Linked DNA regions of Mus musculus. The protein of the gene in region 1 purifies or fractionates together with the protein of each later gene. This does not show direct contact. Links are inferred from orthologs where the notes say so. Each region holds a gene or a part of one and is shown on either strand. Other genes may lie near its edges.

The links.
Region 2: the proteins of Npc1 (region 1) and Pon2 purify together in Homo sapiens (affinity purification with mass spectrometry; 3 studies listed by BioGRID and IntAct, with this or other methods). This does not show direct contact. The link is inferred for Mus musculus from reciprocal best matches to the Homo sapiens genes NPC1 and PON2.
Region 3: the proteins of Npc1 (region 1) and Sigmar1 purify together in Homo sapiens (affinity purification with mass spectrometry; 3 studies listed by BioGRID and IntAct, with this or other methods). This does not show direct contact. The link is inferred for Mus musculus from reciprocal best matches to the Homo sapiens genes NPC1 and SIGMAR1.

Annotation. Positions count from the first base shown.
Region 1 is NC_000084.6:12,189,752-12,196,814, reverse strand, and holds part of Npc1 (NPC intracellular cholesterol transporter 1 precursor), read left to right. Parts: intron 1-201; coding exon 202-331; intron 332-1,605; coding exon 1,606-1,806; intron 1,807-2,520; coding exon 2,521-2,752; intron 2,753-3,407; coding exon 3,408-3,521; intron 3,522-4,968; coding exon 4,969-5,131; intron 5,132-5,812; coding exon 5,813-5,895; 3' UTR 5,896-6,929; coding exon of another isoform or gene 6,930-7,009; 3' UTR 7,010-7,063. Other genes in the region: Rmc1 (regulator of MON1-CCZ1 complex), read right to left, coding at 6,930-7,009. UniProt on the Homo sapiens protein: Intracellular cholesterol transporter which acts in concert with NPC2 and plays an important role in the egress of cholesterol from the endosomal/lysosomal compartment.
Region 2 is NC_000072.6:5,293,325-5,301,143, reverse strand, and holds the start of Pon2 (serum paraoxonase/arylesterase 2), read left to right. Parts: upstream 1-2,803; 5' UTR 2,804-2,858; coding exon 2,859-2,932; intron 2,933-7,819. UniProt on the Homo sapiens protein: Capable of hydrolyzing lactones and a number of aromatic carboxylic acid esters. Has antioxidant activity. Is not associated with high density lipoprotein.
Region 3 is NC_000070.6:41,736,344-41,744,006, forward strand, and holds Sigmar1 (sigma non-opioid intracellular receptor 1), read right to left. Parts: upstream 5,017-7,663; 5' UTR 4,910-5,016; coding exon 4,759-4,909; intron 4,634-4,758; coding exon 4,433-4,633; intron 4,300-4,432; coding exon 4,207-4,299; intron 3,238-4,206; coding exon 3,011-3,237; coding exon of another isoform or gene 2,896-3,010; 3' UTR 2,150-2,895; downstream 1-2,149. UniProt on the Homo sapiens protein: Functions in lipid transport from the endoplasmic reticulum and is involved in a wide array of cellular functions probably through regulation of the biogenesis of lipid microdomains at the plasma membrane.

The DNA.
Region 1 (7,063 bases):
TATATATTATATAGTCTGCTTAATATGAATGGCTTGAGTCTGTCGCTTATTGAGACCACATGGAGCTGAAGCATTTGAGGGGGGAAGTGTTTAGTCTTAAACACGCAGTCCTTAAGTGTTAAGTCTTGACTGTTTGTTGTTGGTGCTGTTGTAAGTCTTGCTGCCCATTTTTCTAATGAGTGGCTCTCCTTTTTTTGTCAGTGATGGACCCAACCTGTGTCCGCTGCAGACCTCTGACTCCAGAGGGTAAACAGAGGCCTCAGGGGAAAGAATTCATGAAATTCCTGCCCATGTTCCTTTCTGATAACCCCAACCCCAAGTGCGGCAAAGGGTAAGTGCTGGCCAGGGAGCGCTGAGCTAAGCAGTCACTGCTGCTTCGACCTGAACCAGAAGCAGAGTTTGGATTGAGCAGGCTTGTACGGAAGGGTCCTCTGCCTGCCCTGCCCTAGTCCTGTAGGGCAGAGACACGGTTTAAAGAAACTCCTTAGGCTTCAGAAGGGTTAATCCTCACTGGGCACTCATTCTCCATGCTTGCTTCCTGTCCTTACCCCAGGCTATGGATGGAGGCAGATTTCCCATGCATATCACAAAGGAGTAGAGAGTTAAGAGGCCCAGTCAGTCCCATTGTGCCAGCAGGCTTAGAGACAGCATCTTTGCTTTGATAAGGTTACCACAGTTTAAGGTTTAGGTTCTAATCCCTGCTACCCCAGCCTTGTGAGAGGGAGATGAGCTATTTAAATCCCCAACCTGTCACCCATTGGCCACAGGGACAGGGACAGGATATCTGGCCCAGAAATAGTAAAGATAAGAGGTACTTTGTCCTGGACGAAGCTTTATAGGTGAAAGTTGAATACCGCATGTGTGTGATGTAACCAACACGGATAGGCTTGGTTTTGTAAGAAGCCACATTTGAGCCAGGTGGTGGTGCCAAATGCCTTTAGTCCTAGCACTAGGGAGTTTGAGGACAGCCTGATCTACAGAGTGAGTTCCAGGACAGCCAGGGATACACAGAAGCCCTGTCTGGAAGAGCAGCCAGGGGGCCTCCGCTGAGCAGTCCTGTCACTTGTGAGTGCCATATTTGTTCTGAAACTTCTGCTAGTTCTAACAAAGACTGCCTCTAAAAATTAAGGATAGATATTAGAACTCTCTTTGCTTTTTAATATTGAGGTTATTCTGGAATTTTCTTCATGAAAGCATGGGAGTTCTTTGGAATTTAGGAAGCAAAAGCCAAAGGGAGTATCCACTGGGCAGTGCCCCTGACTGGTTAGCACTCCCAGGCTGAGTGTGTGGTGGTATGCCCATTCACAGCGGCGAAGGTGAGGGTCCTTTACCCGGAGGCCTGGGCTTGCGTCCAGGCTCTTGTCCTTTCTCACCTCCTGTCACACAGCAGGAACATCTCAGCTGTGCATCATGTTTGGTTTTGAATGGAACCAGGTAGAGAAACAATAGCGGCCGTGCACAAGACAAAGCACAGCAGTACGGTAAGGCAGTGCCTTCCTTCCAGGCCCTTCATAGGAGGCCTCCTTCATCCGTGTGGCCTCTGAGCCGTGTCACAGTGCTCATATTCTGCCCATAGCCTTCCTGACACCCATACCTCTTCCTCAGGGGACATGCTGCTTACGGTTCAGCTGTTAACATTGTGGGAGATGACACTTACATTGGGGCCACTTACTTCATGACCTACCACACCATACTTAAGACCTCCGCTGACTATACTGATGCCATGAAGAAAGCTCGGCTAATAGCCAGTAACATCACGGAAACCATGCGTTCTAAGGGGAGTGACTACCGCGTATTCCCTTACAGGTGAAGCAGGGAGGGCGGGCTCTAGAGGGTGGGGTAGGGACTGCAGATCCTTCGCTCTCATTCTGACAGCTGCTTTATCCTCAACCAAGAGTAGTGTATGAGGGGCATTTGAGGTGAGCGGGCCAGTGTCTTTAGCCTCTGCTGTGCTCTGAGGACCGAACACAGACGTTGGTGTGTTGTCCCAGCCCAGAGAGTCACAGGAGAGTGAGCCTTGCACAAGGGACATGCTGGCAGGGATCCCTGCTGCCTGCTCATTCCTTGGGACATTGCTCTGATAACAGACTTCATTGGCTGGGGTCAGGGTTTGTTTTGTTGCTGCTGCTGCTTTCTCTGTGGAAAGTCAGGAAGGCAGAGCAGTCAAATGATTGCTCTTCTCAAACTGTGTGGTTAAATAATTCCAGCCTTTACGTGCAGACTTCCGGAGTAGGTGTCCTAGTTCTTGGGCAGTTCCCAGAACAGACCTGATTGGTTTCTTTCTTTTCCAATATGGGATTTTTCTGGAAGTGTTTATAAGGTAGCAAAAATTGAGCTTACAAGTAAAAAGTCTATGTAAGCACACATTCGGGGTAACTATCAGGCTGTCTTTGGATGTCAGTGGCTTTGCTCTAGGTGCATGGTGCCTGTGTGGGGTGGTGTCTGTCAGGGTGGGATAAAGAGGGAAGACCTGGGAGGACAAGCTCTAACCAGATAACTCTTCCTCTCCCAACCCCCCAGTGTGTTCTACGTCTTCTATGAACAGTACCTGACCATTATTGATGACACCATCTTTAACCTCAGTGTGTCTCTGGGCTCCATATTTCTGGTGACCTTGGTGGTTCTGGGCTGTGAGCTGTGGTCTGCGGTCATCATGTGTATCACCATAGCCATGATCCTGGTCAACATGTTCGGTGTCATGTGGCTGTGGGGCATCAGTCTGAATGCGGTCTCCTTGGTCAACTTGGTGATGGTTAGTCCTGGCCTTCTCTCACTTTGTCCCTAGCTCCTGGGAGTCTTGCATGAATTGTTCCTTGGATTTCATGTAAGTCCTAAAGTGGCCTGAAACACAGGTGCCACTTAGCTACATGGCAAATATGAGGTCAGCCAGAAGTAAATGAAATTGTCTGAAAACAAAAAACCATGTAGCCTAGTGACATTAAGACACTCGAGTTTGACTTACCAGGCTATTCTGTAGGGTTTCCTGTACAAGTTGCCCAGCATGCAAGTACTTAGGAAGTATTGAAGATGTAGTCAGGCCTGGTGATGCACACCTTTAGTCCTAGTACTCAGGAGGCAGAGGCAGGTGGAGTTTGAGATCAGTCTGGTCTACACAGGGAGTTCCAGGGCAGCCAGGGCTACAGAGAAAAATGGAGGGGCAGCTTAAAACATACTAATGGGAGGTAAACCCCCAGAACACCTTCAGCATGATGGGTTGGCGGTATGCTGCCTCAGTGGGGAAGGATAGGTAACCTTGGGAAGTTTCCAGAAATGTCCTTAATCAAAACCAAGATACTGTAGAAAAGTAGAGGCCTGGGTAGAGCCTTCAGGACCCAGGGTTTCCTCCTGTAGTTTAGAAGAATTTTCAGCTGGAAAAGCTCTGTTCTAATGGGGACGCTTTATTCCAGAGCTGCGGCATTTCTGTGGAGTTCTGCAGCCATATAACGAGAGCATTCACCATGAGTACCAAAGGAAGCCGAGTGAGCCGGGCGGAAGAGGCACTGGCCCACATGGGTAGTTCTGTGAGTATTGTTGGCCCCAGGGTGGGTGGGCTTGCAATGGGAATGCTTCTTCAGTGACTGGCTACTACGTCTCAGAAAAAACACAAATTCAGAGGATAAAACAATTTGGATCCATTCTGAAAATGGCAGCTCCCAGCAATGACAAATTCTCACATGATTCACTAAATAGCTATGTCTGAAACAGACCTGAAATCCCTCAGACTTGTCCTTGCTGTGTGATGTCTTAGACAATCAGATGGCTTAATCAGGAAAGTTAGGAAACGTTAGGCTTGAGAGAGCTGGAAGCCAGTATTATGGTGACACAAGGGGTCTCGTGAGTTCCAGGTGGCACTGGGTTGTCTGTAGTTAATGCCCTGAGGTCCTGATCCAGCCCTTTATCCTGCTGTTCCCCATCACTCAGTCCGCCACTCTGGAAAGTATCAGTGAAAACGTAAGCCTCTGCTTTGTAACAACTCCAGGCCAGCAAGATAGCCAGCATGTCTGAGGGGAGCTTGCTCGGCAAGCCTGGTTTTGATCCCCAAACCCACATGATCGATAGAAGAGAAGAGATGATTGTATAGAGTTGACCTCTGACCTCAATATGTGCTGCAGAAACACACACACACAAAGTCTTCTAAGTTTCCATCTAAGAATCTGCCTTGGTTCAGACTGCTTACTTGTTTGTTTGTTTGTTTATGTATTTTGGTTTTTCGAGACAGGGTTTCTCTGTAGCCCTGGCTGTTCTGGAACTCACTTTGTAGACCAGGCTGGCCTTGAACTCAGAAATCCGTCTGCCTCTGCCTCCCAATGCTTATTTATTTTTTAAAGATTTATTTATTTACTATTATATGTAAGTACACGGTAGCTGTCTTCATAAGAGAGAAGAGGGCGTCAGATCTCATTACGGATGGTTGTGAGCCACCATGTGGTTGCTGGGATTTGAACTCAGGACCTTTGGAAGAACAGTCCGTGCTCTTAACCACTGAGCCATCTCACCAGCCCCAGACTGCTTGATTTTAACAAAACTAGCCAAGACAGTTTTCTGAGAAAATGCATGGCTCTGAAATTTTCCTTCCTTCCTGGGCTGGGAGATGGCTTGAGTCCCCAGCACTCACTTAAGATGGGCACTGCAGTAAATATCTCTGACACCGGTGCTGTGAATAAGTTGGGTAGATCCTGTAGCTCAGACATGAGCCAGCCCGTCCAGCCATATGAGCTCCAATTTCAGAGAGACTGTCTCAAAGCATAAAGTGGGGAGTTGAGGAAGACATCCGAAGTTGACCTCTGACAGCCGCACATTTGCACTCAAACTTCCTTGGATTCATGCATGCTCATAAAGCAGCAGGCCAGACAGTTTGGGTACGGGGCAGGATGTGAGTGGTTGGACACTCACTGCTGAGGAAGGTTTGCGTGGCAATAGATGCTTGCTTACTTATAATAGGCTAACAGCTCACTTCTGCCTCTCCAGGTATTCAGTGGAATCACACTTACGAAATTTGGAGGGATCGTGGTGTTAGCCTTTGCCAAATCTCAAATTTTTGAGATATTTTACTTCAGGATGTACTTAGCCATGGTCTTACTCGGAGCCACTCATGGACTAATATTTCTTCCCGTCTTACTCAGTTACATAGGTAAGAGCATTTCGTTCTTCTCACGGGCGTGGGAGGAACGACATTTACTTAACAGGGCATGGTGTCACAAGCCTGAAATCCCAGGGAGTGGAAGCAGGATGGATCCAAAGTTCAAGGTCATTAACAGTGAGTTTAACCTAAGCTAAAAGACCCTGGCTCAAAGAAAAATTTAAACTTGGACTTTCTAAAGTATTTGAGTTTGTACTGACAGCTAGCTCATACTGCATTAAAACCATAGAAGGAAACAGTAAAACCTCCCCCAGGGCGTCTCGGTTGGCCAGGGCATTTCCTTAGGCATCCTGGAGGCCAGGGCTCACTCCACCTCATACAGTGACGCCCAGTTGAAAAGGTAACAGGATGAGTCTGCCTCACAGCTTTGTTACTAAGTCACTGGAGAGACAGCTCATCGGTTAAGAAAGACACTAGCTGCTCTTCCAGAGGACCCAAGTTCAGTCCCCAGCACCCCCATGGCAGCTCACAACTATAACTCCAGTCAGGGAATCTGACAGCCTCTTCTGGCCTCTGGAGCGCTGCATAGATGCTGTACCATGCAGCATCTTCTGGCTAGGCATGCATGCAGACAAAACACCCACACACAAAAATAAAATAGAAAAAAGCAACAAGAGCATGGCTGGTTTCCATGCCTAGGAGGTTACTTACGCCTTCTCTTGTCTCACACAGGGCCGTCGGTGAATAAAGCTAAAAGACACACCACTTACGAGCGCTACAGAGGGACAGAGAGAGAACGGCTCCTCAATTTTTAGCCTTGTAGCAGGCTTTGGTGACTGTGTTTATGGATAGGTCAAGTTTACTGCAAGACAGCTGCGCTGTCAAGACTGAGCTGGCTTCAGGCTGTGTCCGAGCTGTGTCACATGCAGCTCTACCCACGCTTTTAAACTCAGGAATGCACACCTAACTTGTGAAGCAGTATTAATGGATCTGAAAGCAACAATCGCCAGCCCCTACTGTCGTACCAGTAGAAACCTCATCTTGGGTACAAGGAAGGATAGTTCTGTCACTTTAACTTGTTTCAATGCCTACTTTTAATGGAGGTTATTAAACACTTTAACCTCCCTTCTAGCCCACCACCAACCAGAGATAGTGGGAAAGAAAGGATACAGGGGAAGTGGACCTGTTTAGAAATGGTTCTTTGGAGCAGATCCTGTCTGCATTATCAGGAAACCAGCAATTCAGTTCACGGGTCAGCAGTGGCAGCTCGACCCACTCGCAAACACTTCACGGATACACCAGCAGTGTTGGGATAGGAGCAGCCAGGCCTCAGCAGGAGGGACCAGGGCCGACAGGAACACCAGAGGTTCTTGGCTGTTCCTCTATCAGCGAAGACTGGAGACCAACAAACATTACACAGCTAGCTCTATATTCTCTCTGTGGAGTCCCAACACATGGAGCTCAACTACACAATATAAGGCAGACCAACCAATACATGCCTGTCATTCACGTGTCCTTTCATGTGCTTGCTTTAGGGAAACAGTCCTTCACAAGTCTGCCTTTCACCTGTGTCTGCTTCAGCAAAATGTTCTTTCACATTTGCCCCAGCAAAACCCCATCTAACACAACTGACTTTCCAAAGAACCCTTAAGTTTCCATTTCCCAGTGGCAATAACTGTGACCTGATCCCTACCCCACATGCTGTCTCCTTTTCTTTGGGAGTTAGCAACATTTGAGGATGTTGTAGGTACTTTATTACATTTTTTTGTAGTTTAAAGAGCTTTATTAATGCAATAAATTAACTTTGTACATTTTTATATTAAAAAAAAAAAAAGACTATTAAGGGACTTCAGAATGTTGTAGGCCTCATTAGAGCTTGTTCTCCAAAAACCTGCTTGAAAAAGGCAACGTGTTCTTCACAGTGCTCTCCTGTAAGGACAACGCGGCTCAGTCAGCAGCTGGTTATGGCCCGGGAAGACAGGA
Region 2 (7,819 bases), on another chromosome or scaffold:
ATACTCGGAGGGGTGTGCCGAACTTCAGACCGGTGTTCCCAGAACAAGAAGTCGTCAGAGGCTGGTGTTGACTGAAGCCAGCCATTGGATTTCTGTCTCTCAGCTGTTGTCGGGAAACACTGTTAGGGCAAGTCTGGACTTGGTGAGAATTACTATAACACTCCACTTAATGGTGTCTCCCTAGGCATTAAGAATAGCACCGAATTGTAAAACTCCATGATCTGTTACTTAACTTTAGGACAAGTGGGGAGGCGCTTTGCCCGGCTCTTGCCCCACGGTTCCGGAGGCATGTCTCACAATACATGAGGCATACTTTTATATACCTCTCAGATGAGTCAGGAATCCTAGAGCAAACTCTCAACCTTAAGCCAGGAACTTAGGTAATAGCACCACGCCCTCCTAAATTTTGATGGTATCTGCAAGGTTTCTCCTGATGATTCATGCCACGGATGGTAAAATTCAATGCCTGTCTATGCAGTCAGTCAGAAGCGACATCCCAAGTTGGATCTCTTCACTTAAGAGGCTCGTGGATGATTTAAAGGATCCGAGGGTATATTTTAGAGGCAGGATACTTAGAAAGAGAAGAAAAACACAAATAAGTAGGTTAGTTAGTTCAGAGCTGTTGATAATTTTGGATGAAGGTAAAAAACATTGATTTGAAAGGAAATTTTGCATTTCTTTCATTTATGAAGGTAAGAAACTACTAAAAATTTTTGTTACCAAAAGAAGCAATAGTTGTCACTATAGTTGTTACATGTATCTTTAAATAACATACCTAACCTCATTTGAATTTTTTTCTTCAGCCTTTTATCTAGTTCAGACTAGTTTTAAACCCAATATTCTCCAGTCTCTGTTTTAGCTTCATGGTGAGATTCCAGTCAGTCACCAGCCCTGGCCCTTTATCTTCCTTTGAAAGAATGTTTCTAGAGCTTTCTGATTTGCTGTGCTAAGATCACACCTAACTCAGAGATGCCATTAAGGGCACAGGGTGGCTCCCATGCCAAGATGAGAAGGGCTGTGTCATTACTGTATTTCTGTGGCATACACTCACTTTCAAAGCACTTCGATAATCACATTTCAGTGCACTTGATCCCTTTGGCAATCCTACCCACCTAACTGTGTGCCCTGACAAACAGTATTTTGCGAAGTTATCTGTGATGGAAAGTGCATAAAAAGTACATCTTCTGGGACTTTGAAAGAGCAATTGTTCAGCTGTCTATCAGACAGTGGATACATCCCAGAGTCCCTTAGGGCTGGTCACAGATGTGTGGAACAGGAAGATCTCTTTCTTTTCCCTTTGGTGAGGGGCCAGGTACAAACCGGCATCTGCTTTTCCTTAATGGTTGGTTACAAAACAGAAACCTGGCCTGATGTGCCAGCATCTGCTGGTAATCCTCACGAGGGCAAGGCAAGAGAGCCTCAAATCTGAGGTCACCTCGAGCTGCAATAACAAAACACTGTCAGAAAAGGATGGTCCCCGGGAACTGACTGTGTAGCTTCTGCAAACATTGCAGGTGGGAATTAAGCACTGGGAACAATTAGGAACTGATTTCAAGTTATACCCAGTAGCTGTCGCAATCTCAACGAGTGCCCTCCCTCTTTATATTTTTATAAGTGTATATCAATAAGTATTAAAATGAAAAGGGAGAAAGAAGAGAAAATTGATTAGTACTCCAGTGAGTCCCGAGTTTGTGGTGTTTTAGTCTAAAATCTTTTTTTTTTTTTTTGGTTTTTTTTTTTTCGAGACAGGGTTTCTTTGTGTAGCCCTGGCTGTTCTGGAACTCACTCTGTAGACCAAGCTGGCCTCAAACTCAGAAATCCACCCGCCTCTGCCTCCCAAGTGCAGGGATTAAAGGTGTGCGTCACCACACCTGGCTATAAATCTTAATATAAAAGGATGTAATTCCAACTCTAACTTCTTATATAAGACCTGTCCAGAACCACTTTTTTCCCATCTAAAAGAAGAAAAAAAAGGAAAGGAATATTTAAAATGTCTGAACGAGAGAGATGTCTCAGCACTAAGAACACTGGCTGTATTTCCTGGTGTAGTGGGCACCCTTTTCTGACCTATGTGGATACCAGGCATGAATGTGGTGCATATACTTACATGCAAGCAAAACAACCATGCATATGAAATAAAGAACTAAGGCAAAACATATTACTCTAGGCAGGGCCTTGAGTGGCCCAAGAACTTGGCATATGGAGGTAGACAGATCAGAAGTTCCCTACCAGCCTGGACCACATGAGACCTTATGTTCAAAACAATAAGAACATTTAAAAGTACAATTTTAATAGATTTCATATATATATATAATATACTTTCTGTGTTGTTTAATAATTACTATCTAAATATATTTTATATTTAAATATAGAAATGTTATACACACGTATGTGTAATAACAAAACTAGTGTATGACTGTAGATATGGCTCAGTACTAGCCTAATATGAACAAAGTCCTGAGTTTGTTTCCTAGCTTCTCAAAGCCAAAATTATACACAACAGAGGGGGAAAGTATCCTCAAACACCAGGCCAAAACAGCAAAAAGCAAGCCCAAACTTAACTAAATTAAGGGAACTCCGCAGAGGCCACCCTAAAGTTTTCAGGGAGCTGAGCAGGTGCAGCTGCGCGAGGATCGGAGGCTTGGCGGGGTGTTTGTGAAAGGAATCAAGTTCAGTTGGGTTCCCACGCGGGCATGTGCGGATGTGCTCCGAGGACGAGGCGCCGGGCGGAGCCTGGGCTGCAGAGCCGGCGCTCGGGGCGGGGATCGGGCGCGGCTCCGCGCTCGGGGCGGGGAGCTGGCCCAGCGTCCGGAGCTGCTCGGTCAGGCCCGAGCCAGACGGCGGGCCGGTCCCGCACCATGGGCCGGATGGTGGCTCTGAGTTTGCTGGGCATCGGGCTGGCGCTGCTGGGCGAGCGGTTCCTAGCGCTCAGGTAGGTGCTGCCGAGGGTCCCGGGTCGGGAGTCCCTAGGCTGGGACCGCCGAGCTGATTGGGGCGCTCGCGCGGCGGGTGGGAGGGGGTGAGAGGGGGGGAGGTAACTGGAGAGAGAGCTTGTTTAGTTCGGGGGGGGGGGGGGACCGGATGGAAGGAAGAACTTCGGATAGCTACCGGTGCTCCGTTTAACCGACCCAGTCCACTTCCACCAAGACCTAGACACTTTGGGAAAAAGTTTTCCAGCGCTTGCTGGTGCCGAGGTTCCTCTGCCTAGGCTGACAAGAGAGAGCTTTGCAAATTCCCCAAGGGCAAACCCAGTGCTTTAATTTGAAAACAAAACCATTACTCATGCGTGGACGCTCTAATTATACAGCTTCATTTTAGGTCACTGGTGCTGTTCTGCTCAGCCGGAACCCATCCCTCCCCAGCATTAATAGTTGGTGAAACTTCAGGGTTTCCGTCTTGGCGCTGGAGATCAAAGACGCTTGAGAGAGACAGCTACTGTTCTTACATCATTTCCTTATTTATTGACCAGAGTCCCAGAAGCAGAGCGAGCGATTGTTTGTTCTGGGTAGACATCATACTTTCAAGTTACCAATTCAAACTTTATAAACTTCTTGCAAAAGTGTTCCGGAACAGTAGTACTCAGCTCCTTATAGGGTTAAAGAGAAAAGACAGTCTTCTGTAGGCGTTCTGGGAGGCAACGTAGACTCAGATGAGGAAGGCGGGCAAGTCTGAAGGGTGTGCTTCACACTGGGCCTCTCTCTAATAGGCAAAAGGGAAGCGCCGGCACTCATTGGTTGTTTAGCAGCAAACTGCTATGAGTCTTGCATTGTACAAATAAGCCCGAAGGGCACAGCAACGGGGCCTGGATATTGGGATCTCCCGGAGTCTTGACGTCCAAGTAGCACCATGTGAAACATTCTAATTCAGTTGGTTCTGATAGGGCATCGGCCTTGGGTTTTGGGTGCTTTTCTAAATTTTAAATGAATTCTTGGTTTTGAGACGAAGTCTCACTGTGTATCCTCTGTTTTGAAGCTCAGTCTGGTCTCAAAACTCAGGATTCTTTGGTCTCCTGACTTCTGCTATTATAGGCACACGCCAGCATGACAGTCAGATTTCCTTCTCTTCTCTTCTCTTCTCTTCTCTTCTCTTCTCTTCTCTTCTCTTCTCTTCTCTTCTCTCCTCTCCTCTCCTCTCCTCTCCTCTCCTCCCCTCTCCTCCCCTCTCCTCTTCTTTCTTCCTTTTATCTTTTTTTTTTTTATTTTTAACGTTTATATCTTTGCTAATAATGTGCAGTGTAGCTCAGGGACAGAGCACTTGCCCAGAATGCACGAAGCTTGGGATTCTAGCCCCAGCACCACACTACAAAATCACAACACGAAGCACACCCCTCTCTTAGCAATCCTCTTGTACAGTATGCATTAAGCATTGAGAGATGCTGGACTAGGCATGGGGAAAGCACTTTGGGAATGATAAAGGAGACCCAGACTGCATCCCCAAGAATGAGAGTCAAATCAAAGTATAGCACATCTTGCAAGGCAATTCCAGTGTCCCATAGCTGCAGCTTCACTTAGAAGAAGGCCCTGTGAGAAGTGGACATGGTGGGAGCACTGCAACAGGGAGAAAGTCAGCCTTATGCCTGTGCCAGGGAATGGCAATGTGGCTTCATTGTCATGGCACGGAAATGCTTCTGCTCCTGTAGACTCTCCACACATTGGATGGGTCGGGCTAGCCTTTGTTTTTAATCGATAAATAATAAACACACATACTTATGGGCTAAGGTGTTATATATAACGAGATCTGCAGTGATTACCACAGCAGTCACCGTAAGCACTTGCTTTTTCTTTGAGATGAGAATGTTAAGCATTCTTTCTTCCTGGTTTGAAGCATACACTACTATTAGCTCACGTCACTGCACTGCCTGTCTTCTAATCAGACCATTCTGCCCTTTGGCCAGTCTCGCTGCCGCCAATGGCTCGGCCTTATCCTTGAGTAACTACTGTTCTTATTTTTTTTTCATTAGATATTTTCTTTATTTACATTTCAAATGTTATCCCCTTTCCTGGTTTCCCCTCCAAAACTCCTTATCTCCTCCCCTGCTCCCCAACCCACCCACTCCTAGTTCCTGGCCCTGGCATTCCTCTACACTGGGGCATAGAACCTTCACAGGACCAAGGGACTCTCTTCCCATTGATGACCAACTAGGCCATCCTCTGCTACATATGCAGCTAGAGTCATGAGTTCCACCATGTGTACTCTTTGGTTGGTGGTTTAGTGCCAGGGAGCTCTGGAGATACTGGTTAGTTCATATTGTTGTTCCTCCTATGGGGCAACTACTTTTATATTCAACTTCTATTCATATCTGTGAATTTTCCCATTTTTTCATTCTTGCTTCCTTCACTTCTTCCTTCCCTCCCCTCTCCTCTCCTCTCCTCTCCTCTCCTCCCCTCCCCTCCCCTCCCCTCCCCTCCCCTCCCCTCCCCTCCCCTCCCCTTCCCTTCCCTTCCCTTCCCTTCCCTTCCCTCTCTCCTTCATTCTTTCCTTCCTTCCTGGCTCTTTAAGACAGGGTCTCTCTTTGTCTATCCCAGACTGGCATCTGTGTCATGAAAATCTTCTCGTCTCAGTCTCCTGAGTATGAAAACCACATACATGCAACACCGTGCCTCTACAATCCCTTTCTCTCACTGTATCTGTTGTATAAGTCCCCCCACATTGTCGTTTCCCATTTATCTGTTGATGGGAGGGCGCTTAGGCTGTTCCTATTTGGGGCCTGTTATGTATCCTGAGCCTCCTGGGATGCGAGCATCTCTTCAGCACTGACTTCTCTCTCTTTGGATATATCTCCAGTCCTGGGATTGCTGGTCATATACGAGACTTACACTTTAACAAGTTGTAGGGCGTCTCCGTTTCTGTTTCACAACGTCACAGTACTTTCCACCCACAGAAAGTAAAGGATGCCTTTCTGAACAAGGTGTGTGGCTCAGTGGTTCAATGTCGAGTCCGTGGGAGCACGTGTTCAAGCTCCAGAGTAGAGATGAGCTCACTGCTGCTTTCTCTCTTTTTGGCAGTAGTCGTTGTAACTAGAGCAAGATTGTATCTCTTAGAACATTTTATTTGCATTTCCCTGATTATCAGGGATGTAGGTTATTTCTTCATAACCACAGTAGCCATCATTTATCTTTTTCCAAGAAGTCTCCACTCAGGGTGGTTGCTTATTTGGAAACTGGGTTGTTGGGTTTTTGTTTGTTTGCATTGCTCTGTTTGCTAATGGGTTAGGTGTGAGCTAATGCAGGTTTCTGACATGTCCTGGCTGTTAGCGATGGTATTGCAAGTGTGTCCTCCCATCCTGTGGCCATTTCTTAAATCTGCTGATCGCTTGCTTCGTTTGGCAGGCGCTGTGCAGTCTGGTGTTGTCCATTGGTGTTTTTTCCTGCACTCTTTAGGCTCTTGCAGTCAGGTGCTTCTGCGCAGCCCACTCAGCTTTCAGTAGTAAAAATGGGACGTGAAAATTCCTAGACTCCTTCAGTTATCACCGATGGTTGAACCATCATTGTTTCCACAAACTGAAATTTTCTCGATGAATAGTCAACTCTTCCCCCTTTCCTTATTCACATTAAGGTCCAAAGCTGAAGTCTCTTGGATTGACAGGTATAGTCACAAATTAAGAAAAAGTAAATATACCCATCAGGGATGCGACTGAGGAGATGGCTAGTAGAGGGCATGAGATGCAAGGATGAGGACCTGAATGTGAACCCAAAGGACGCATGCAAAAATCCTACATGGCCATGTGGGCCTGTAAGGCCAGACTGTCCCTAGGCAGTACAATGGAGAGCAATAGAGGAAGGTACCCAGTGTCCTCATAGGATTTCTGTATGTATATATGAGTATATATATCCACACACCCACAACACATAGACCCACACACATGCACACACACACACACACACACACACACACACACGCACACACATGGACACATGGATACACATATACACGTCCATGTACATGCATGGACAGGCAAATATACACACACATGCACACACTGAATGCAGAGGTGCGGAGGGTAAGTAATTTACAACTTGGTGCAAGCTTTCTTTATAAAGCTCTGGCTAAGATAAACTTCGATGAGCAGTGATTTTAGAGCTAGTGACTTGGTGACTTCATTGGCAAGCTGAAACTCCGAATAGAGTGATGCAAGAATGTAGGGTGAAATGTTATATAGTTTGATTGTCCCACCCCCACCTCCCAAAAAACAATCAGGTTTTTCCAGTTAAGTTGGAATTTCAGATTAACAGAGAATCATTGTGTGTGTGTCTTCTATGTGTGTTTGTACATGTATGCATTTATATGTGTCCATGAGTGTGTATGTTCCCATGGAGGCCAGAGGTGAACATTGAGTGTCTTCCTCAATTGTTTTCTACATTATGTTTAAAAACAGGGTCTCTCATTGAGCCAGGAGCTCGCTGATTCAGCTACACTGGCTCACCAGCAGACTCCATGGACCCTCCTGTCTCTACCTTCCCCGTACAGGGTTTCAGACCTGGTCCTCTGCATCCAACTTTCACACAAGTGCTGAGGGTGAAACTCGAGTCCCCGTGACTGTGCAGGAAGCACTTTATCCACTGAGCTATCTCGGCCGCCCACGTCATTCTTTAGCACAATGTACATATAACACATTTTAGAAAAAGCATGCAGTTTGAGACACCATTTCACTAAAGGTAGATTTAGCTGAGCACTCTATATTGCATATGGTGACCATGTATGTGACTGGAGCATAGCCTGACTCTCCTGCCTGCAGTGTGGTGACATTCTCTCAGACTCGCAGGGTCTACTTCAAAAATCAACAGGCTCTGAGATCCCTGCAGGAAAGGATTTCAGAGCA
Region 3 (7,663 bases), on another chromosome or scaffold:
AAGTATGCTATGGATTGGCAAACCCCAGCAAGCCCCCCCTGACCCCCTATACACCCTGTGCATTGCAGGGGTTATAAGCACATAGGTGGTTATGCTCAGCTTTTAACATGGGTGCTGGGATCTGAAAATGGGGCCTCATATTTTATAGCATGTACTTTTACCTATTGACCAATCCCTTCAGCCCTGTAGACGGCATTTAAAGTTACAAAGGGATAAGGATCTGCCAAAATAAAGGGGGGAAAGTACCAATAAAGAAAAAAAAGAATTGGGAGGGCAGGAGAGATGGCTCAGTGGTTAAGAACACTGACTGCTCTTTCAGAGGTCCTGAGTTCAATTCCCAGCAACCACATGGTGGCTCACAACCATCTGTAATGGGATCTGATGCCCTCTTCTGGTGTGTCTGAAGACAGCTACAGTGTACTCATATATGTAAAAGAAAGAAAAAAAGAATCCTTGAAGCCCAAATTTGTCTTAAGAGATTTATCTGTATCAAAAGTTGAGGGCCACAGGACTAGATTAGTGGTAGAACACATGCTTAGAATGTTTAAGACTTCAGATTTGAGTTCCAATACCAACAACGAAAGTTAAAAACTATGGAATGACCACTGGCTTTAACAACAGAGATGGGGGCAGGGAGGATAGTCCTTTATAAGACAGGTGATGGGACATATGGGCATCCCTGATATCCATGTGTTCCTAGACTAGAGGTAGAACTGGGTACCATGCAGAATTTGTCTATAAAGATCAAGAGGCTGCAGCTAGGGCTTGTCACAGCCACCATGGTGGTAATGAGAGCTCAGAGAAGGTATCAAGATAGCCAATTTGCCTGGGTTTCAAATTGTTGATGCTTTTTGTTGTTTGAGACAGTCTCATCCTATAGTCCTGCTGGTCTACATTTACTATGGACACCTGGCTGGCATGGAACTTGCATAGATCCTTTTGCGTCTGCCTCCCAAATGCTGATATTATAGGCGTGAGCCACTCACTATGCCTGGCTAGACCTTTGATGACATTGTCAAATAAGGTTATGCACGTAGCCTTTTGTATTTGTGTTCGTTAGACTGTTTAACTATATAACCTTGTTTCTCCCAATATTAGTTTAACAACTCCAAGAAATAGGAAGGGTCCGGACTTTATTCAACCTAAATAGGACCAGGATGAAGGTGGCATGAGCTTGGTGACCTGTGGGCAAAAAAGCCATGAGCAAGGTCCTTAGGAATGAGTGTACTTTTGGCTCTATCTGCCTTGTGTATTTTGCCTGATCCTGCCCCAGGCAGGAGCTCCCCAATAAGTGCTGGGTCAAAGGCAAACCAGAGCAGAGGAACTCTTGTTCCAGTTAGTGGTGTACTCTATTCTGTCAGCCCGGAAGAACCAGCTGAGGTCTGTTTCAGCTCAAATGTGGGAGCACAGTGCCACCCCATGGCCATGTGCAGTGAAGTTCTCAGGACCACCTCTAGGACAGACTAGCAAAGTAGACACACGGGTCTCATTTTTTCATATTCAAAAACTTATCTCGAGGGGCTGGAGAGACGGCTCAGCAGATAAGAACACTGACTGCTCTGTCAGAGATCCTGAGTTCAAATCCCAGCAACCACATGGTAGCTCACAACCATCTGTCATGGAATCCAAAGCACCCTTCTAGTGTGTGTCTGAAGACAGCTGCAGTGTACTCATATAAAAAAAGAAATAAAATTAAAAAAAAAATTTATCTCTATAGATGCAAGCCAGCCAGCCTCAGTGACTCATCTGTCTTCTAAGGGTGTGGTTAGCACAGCGCTTGCCCAGACTGCACAAAGCCTTGGCCTTAATTCTCAGTCCTAGGAAGTGGAAGCTGGAGGTTAAGTTCACGGTGAATTTCAGTATCACATCGTAAATTCTAAGTCAGCTTTATATTGCGGGGGGTGGGGGGGGGCACTCTGGGTGTGGTGGTGCTCACTTCCAGTTCCAACACTCAGATGCCAACAGCAGGCAGAGCTGAGTCTAGAGCCAAAGGTTTAACACCACCACCCCTAGAAGGCTGACTTCAAAGTAATTCTTAGCACACTCCCTTCTGTCTAAACCTTGTCTTACAAACTGGATTGTACAGGAGGCCTTTTAGTGCCCCAGGAGGCAGCTGGCTTCCCTGCTGTTTAGACACATAAGGAAACGAAACTGTTTAATATGTTTTTATTAACAGAGAGAGACAAGAAGACAGAGATTGCAACAGATATGTCTGGAAACTGATAGGGTGTGCACACACACACTAAAGGCTTCTTTTGGAATGGGGTGGCTCCTTGGACCCCGGCTTACTTCTCCAGGTCCTCTCCTTGGGAACTGGCCCTGGGGCACTAGCCAGCTTTCCCATTCTAACCCCAACAAGGGTCTCCGTAGTGGAGGACCTCCCTTCCCTTTAGCATCCTCTACATGCCTCTGCTTTCCCAGCTGAACTGGTTGCCGGGGGGGGGGGGCAGGGAGGACAAGCCAGGGGGGCATTTGCATAGCAGGGGAGTGGAATGGAGATAAGGCATATGGTGAGGAAAGGGATGAAGGGAAGGGCATCATAGCTGCAGGTGAAGGGGACCTCCGAAGGGCAGCTCCTCTTTCCCTTCACCAGAGATTACTACAGGAATGAGGCATCAGAGTGAGGTAGTGTGTAACATCTACCTCAACCCTTGATCCCAGAGCCCTGAATGCCAGCAGGAGGCTCTAGGAAAGCCTGAGTCAGTGAGTCAAGCTTGTGATGTGTGTTCAAACATGACTGGCCCCCTGGAGTATATGTAGAGGACCCTTTCTGGGTGGATGTGAGTGCATGATCTTACAGTACATACAAGTCTTAGCATCTCTGTGTCTCATTTGCTTCCCAAGAGCTGTGTCTGGATGTACAAGTATGTATGTCCTTCCTCATACAGCAGGTACTTAATATCTGCATGGTATACGCTGCTGTCTGAATATGAGTTCCAGCGAGTAGAGAGATGGATGTGGTCCTGCCGCGCTCCTGTCCATCCACAGATCTTCCTTCAGGCCTGGCTGGTCAGGAGTCTTGGCCAAAGAGGTAGGTGGTAAGCTCAAGCCGGAGGCCCCGGGCATAGGCCCGAAGGGTATAGAAGAGTGTGAGGTAGTCCTGGGTGCTGAAGAAAGTGTCGGCTAGTGCAAAGAACAGGGTAGACGGAATAACACCCCGGCCGTACTCCACCATCCACGTGTTTGGTCCCCACTCCAGAGCCGTTGCTTCTCCAGGCCCGTGTACAACTGTCTCTCCTGGGAGACAGACAGGATAAGAAACCTCATGAGGAGCCCAGCTCTGCCCTGGCCTTCCATACTGCATTTGTCTAGCCTATGGGCTATCTATGGAGAGGAGGGGAATGAAAAGACAGTTTCAAGAAAAGAAAAAGTTCTTCTACCCTACTGGCCAAGCTGCTTGATCAGAGGACAAAGACCAAAACACCTAATACCAATGGCATCACCTGGCCCCTGGAAGGCCACCCAACCCAGCTACAGGCTAACGTATAGAATTATGGCATCTGCATTTCCAAGCTGCACTCATATCTGGTGGAAATTCTGTGTGGTTACAGGGCTTGCCAGGCTCTCTGAGAAATGCGCCTGTTCAGTCACAAAGTGTGATGCTTAACCTTACACCAGCAAGCCCACGCCTTTTTTTCTTTTAAACAGATTCAGAGGTACATTAAAAAAACACCACCAGGAGTTTGCTAGCCAGATGGCTCAGCTGTGCCCTGGCTCCTACTCCAGAGGACCCAGGTTCACTTCCCAGCACCCACATGAAGGCTCACAACAGTCTATAACTTCAGTCTCTGGGATCAGATGCCCTCTTCTGGCCTTTAAGGCACCAGGCAGTTAAGGGGTTGGTGTGTGTAAGCAAAACCCAGACGCATAAAAACAAACAATAACAAAAATACAAAAACCCCAAACTGCCACTCTAGTTTAAGGAAACAAATGCCTGTCTTAACTTTTGGGTATAACCCAGATAATTGCTGGGTTAAACAGGCTGATAAAAAAAATCAAGTTCTCTATGACTGGAAACTGCCGTGTTCTGTTTCCCTTAACAGTCGAAAGCATCAGGGTTCCTAGCTCGACCCTAACGAAACACCTGTGGCTTACCAGGGAGGGAAGGAAGGAAATCACTGGTAGGCCTTCTAAACACGCCCTTTCCAAGTCTTATGCCCGTCCCTATCTAGAGGGCGCCCCCTCGGACAGAACTTCCCTACGCACCTGGGTAGAAGACCTCACTTTTCGTGGTGCCCTCTTTCCATTGGTGGAAGGTGCCAGAGATGATGGTGTCAGAAATCTCAGCCCAGTATCGTCCTGATTGACAGTAAAATAGACACCGACCATCAGGGAATCCTTGTCAATACACGGCCCAGCCAAACCTTGGAATGGAGGGCACCGGCCCTCGAACAGTCCCAGCCTCCCAATCCGACCCACCGCCAACACTGACCCGAATGGCCATGGGAGCCCAGGGCGGTGCCGAAGAGCAGCACGTACTCAGACAGCGAGGCGTGCAGAATACACATGGCGCCCATCCAGCCGCCCGCGTTCACAAATACCCACTGCAGCTCCTCATCCGGCAGCACGTGGCCTGGGTGCAGCCTCCGCAGCTCCACGATCAGCCGAGAGAAGGCAAGCTCATGGTCCAGCCCTGGTGCAAAAAGGAGAAGCGCGGGTGAGACCAGCCCGCGGTCTGAGCTTGGCGAGGACCAGCCCTCGGAAAGCGCGGCTCCGCTCCGTGTCGGCCCACCCCACTCTCCGCCCTCACCGGCTCACCCGCATACTGTCGAGCAAGCTGCGCTATTTCTTCTCTAGAGAAGACGAAGTTTTGAGTGCCCAGCCACAACCAGGCGGCCTGGATCAGCACTGCGATAATAGTCAGAATCAGGGTGATCCATGCCCACCGCCGTCCCGCGGCCCACGGCATTCTAGCGGGCAGCCTGGCACCACCAACGTAAGACCGAACTAGGGCCACAGGCTGTGGGTTCACGACTCAAAAGCCGCTGCCTACGGTCGCCCCCGCCACCGTGGTACGGCTCGCCGGGGCCAATCGGAACGTCCGGGTCACCTAGCACCGCCTCTGGATTGAACCATTTTCTAGAGGGGAGAGCGTAGGGTTTAGTGGCTTGGTCTGCAAGAGAGGTGAGAGGCGGGGCCTCGCCTCCTGGCTGCCACCCTGTTGGGTTCAATCTTGGTGTCCCCAAGCGGGGAGACCCAGAATGGATTGGCCCACCTGAGCTAGCGAGCCCAGAAGTAGAGCTTTCTAGGTCTGCTAGCACAGAAGCAGGTTGAAGATAGTGCCACTGGGAACCTTAGGAAAGAAGCGGTGATATCTGAAGTGTCCATGAGAGAGAGAGAGAGTCAATGGGAACTATTCCAGGAGTCAAAGAGCAGAGGAGTGTGAGACAGCATACATGCATTTATGTATATATGTATGTGTACATATATTTGTAATATTTTAGACAACTTTAGCTAGCCTATAGACTAGGATAGCCTCGATCGATGCCTCTCCAATACTGGGATCAGGGGCGCGCACCACCATGCATGTTTAGCTTAGTGTTTTCTCCGATCCTATGATTCATTCTATGTTCTGAAGCACAAAAGTGTGAAAGACCTTGAAAACCAATAGATTTGTCCACTGGGGAGCTATGGGATTCGATGTTGACACAGAATGATTCTGGGCTAAATAGAGGAGGGGAGCAAAATTGGACTAAGATCTAAGACAGAGAGCCCATATGTGTCAGCATTTAAGAGTATGCATTGATAGCTTTATCTGTAACATAGACTAAATTAAAAAGTATCTGCTTCGTAGCCCATACCTTCATTATGATTAACATTAAATGAATTAATTTTTTAAAGTAATTAGTGCCTGGCACATGGTTAGGATTATACATGTTAGTTAGAAAAAGACAATGTAAGACATGTATTGCTTGTAATTCTAGAACGTGGGAAGGCACCAAGATCAGTTCAAGGTCACCATAGCAAAAGTCAGCAGAGGCCTCAGGAAACCATGTCTAAAGCAACAACAAGAACAACAGCCAAACCCATAAAGGAGCTAGAACACAAAGAACTGATGGAATGAAATCCATCAGGCAAATATAAGGGAGGGGTTCACGAAACATGGGGAATGGCTTTTCATGGCATTTTTATGTGGCAGAGACATTTCTTTTTGCTTTTTTTTTTGGTTGTTTTGTTTTGTTTTGTTTTGTTTTGTTTTGAGACAGGGTTTCTCTGTATAGCCCTGGCTGTCCTGGAACTCACTTTGTAGACCAGGCTGGCCTTGAACTCAGAAATCTGCCTGCTTCTGCCTTCTGAGTGCTGGGATTAAAGGTGTGCGCCACCATGCCCGGCTTTCCTTTTGCTCTTGAGCGACCAAAATACATTCTATAATCTCTGTATATGGGGCCATGTACCAGGTGGTTTTATTCCAGATAATAAAATGGAAACAGAAATGCTGTAAGACATTTTCAGGTCTAGTTTCTAAAAATATGTGAAATCTTGAGGCTGGAGAGATGCCTCCGTGGTTAACAGCACTAGCTGCTCTTCTGCTTTTCCAGAGGATCTTGATTTGATTCATAGCATGCATATGGTGGCTCACAACTGTTTGTAGCTCAGTTCCAGTAGATTTGACTCCTTCTAGCCTCTGTGGGAATTGTACCCACATGATATACTGGCATACATGCAGGCAAAACACCAATACATATATTTAAAAAAAAAAGAAATTCTGTCCTCTCTCTTTTCACCTTTGCCAATTTCAGAAGACTTATTGTTGTGTGACAAAATGTTTCCTGAGGAAACACAACACACTTCAGATAGGGAGCCTATGACAATTGAAAGTACAGATACCACCAAAATCCAATTTGGTGAACTAATGAGTTTTATTGGGGTTACTTGCTGGACTGTGGGTGAGGAGTTACTTGCAGGAACAGAAATCAGAGTCAAAGACAGCTGCATCACCAAAGCCCAGCCCAGCATGGGTGACAGCTCACAAAACCTGGAAGCAGCCTGAAGGCTCTACAGGTTGTAGTGTCCTTTTCAAGAGACTCTAGTCTAAACCTCTCCCAAGCAGCTTGACTAGTCTGTTTCTTCAGGACTAGTCTGGTCTCAAGATACTTTTTTGCAGCTTGGCTTCACTTTGTCTAAATGGGACTCTCAGCATTTATTGCTTACTATAGCAGGGAGGAGTCTAGTAAATTTGGTCAGTTTCAGGGACTTCCTGAAGCTGTTTTGAGTTGGTTTCCATCCTGCTAAAGGAATTCTTGCAGGATGGATTTTAATACTACAAGTATAATATAGTGGTTCTTCTTGGTCATCAACTTGACTACATCTGAAACTCAAAAAACACCTGTGAGGGTTTATTTTGTTCTTAATTAAATCATTTGATGTGAGCCGGGCGTGGTGGTGCATGCCTTTAATCCCAGCACTCGGGAGGCAGAGGCAGGCGGATTTCTGAGTTCAAGGCCAGCCTGGTCTACAAAGTGAGTTCCAAGACAGCCAGGGCTATACAGAGAAGCCCTGTCTCAAAACAAAACAAAAAACAAAACAAAACAAAAAAACCAACAACAACAACCAAAAAAACCCCATCTGATGTGGGAAGACTTACTTCTGAGCCAGATCGTTGAGATAGGAAGATACATTATTAATTTTGGACCATACCTTCTGCTGGCAGCCTATATAAGGG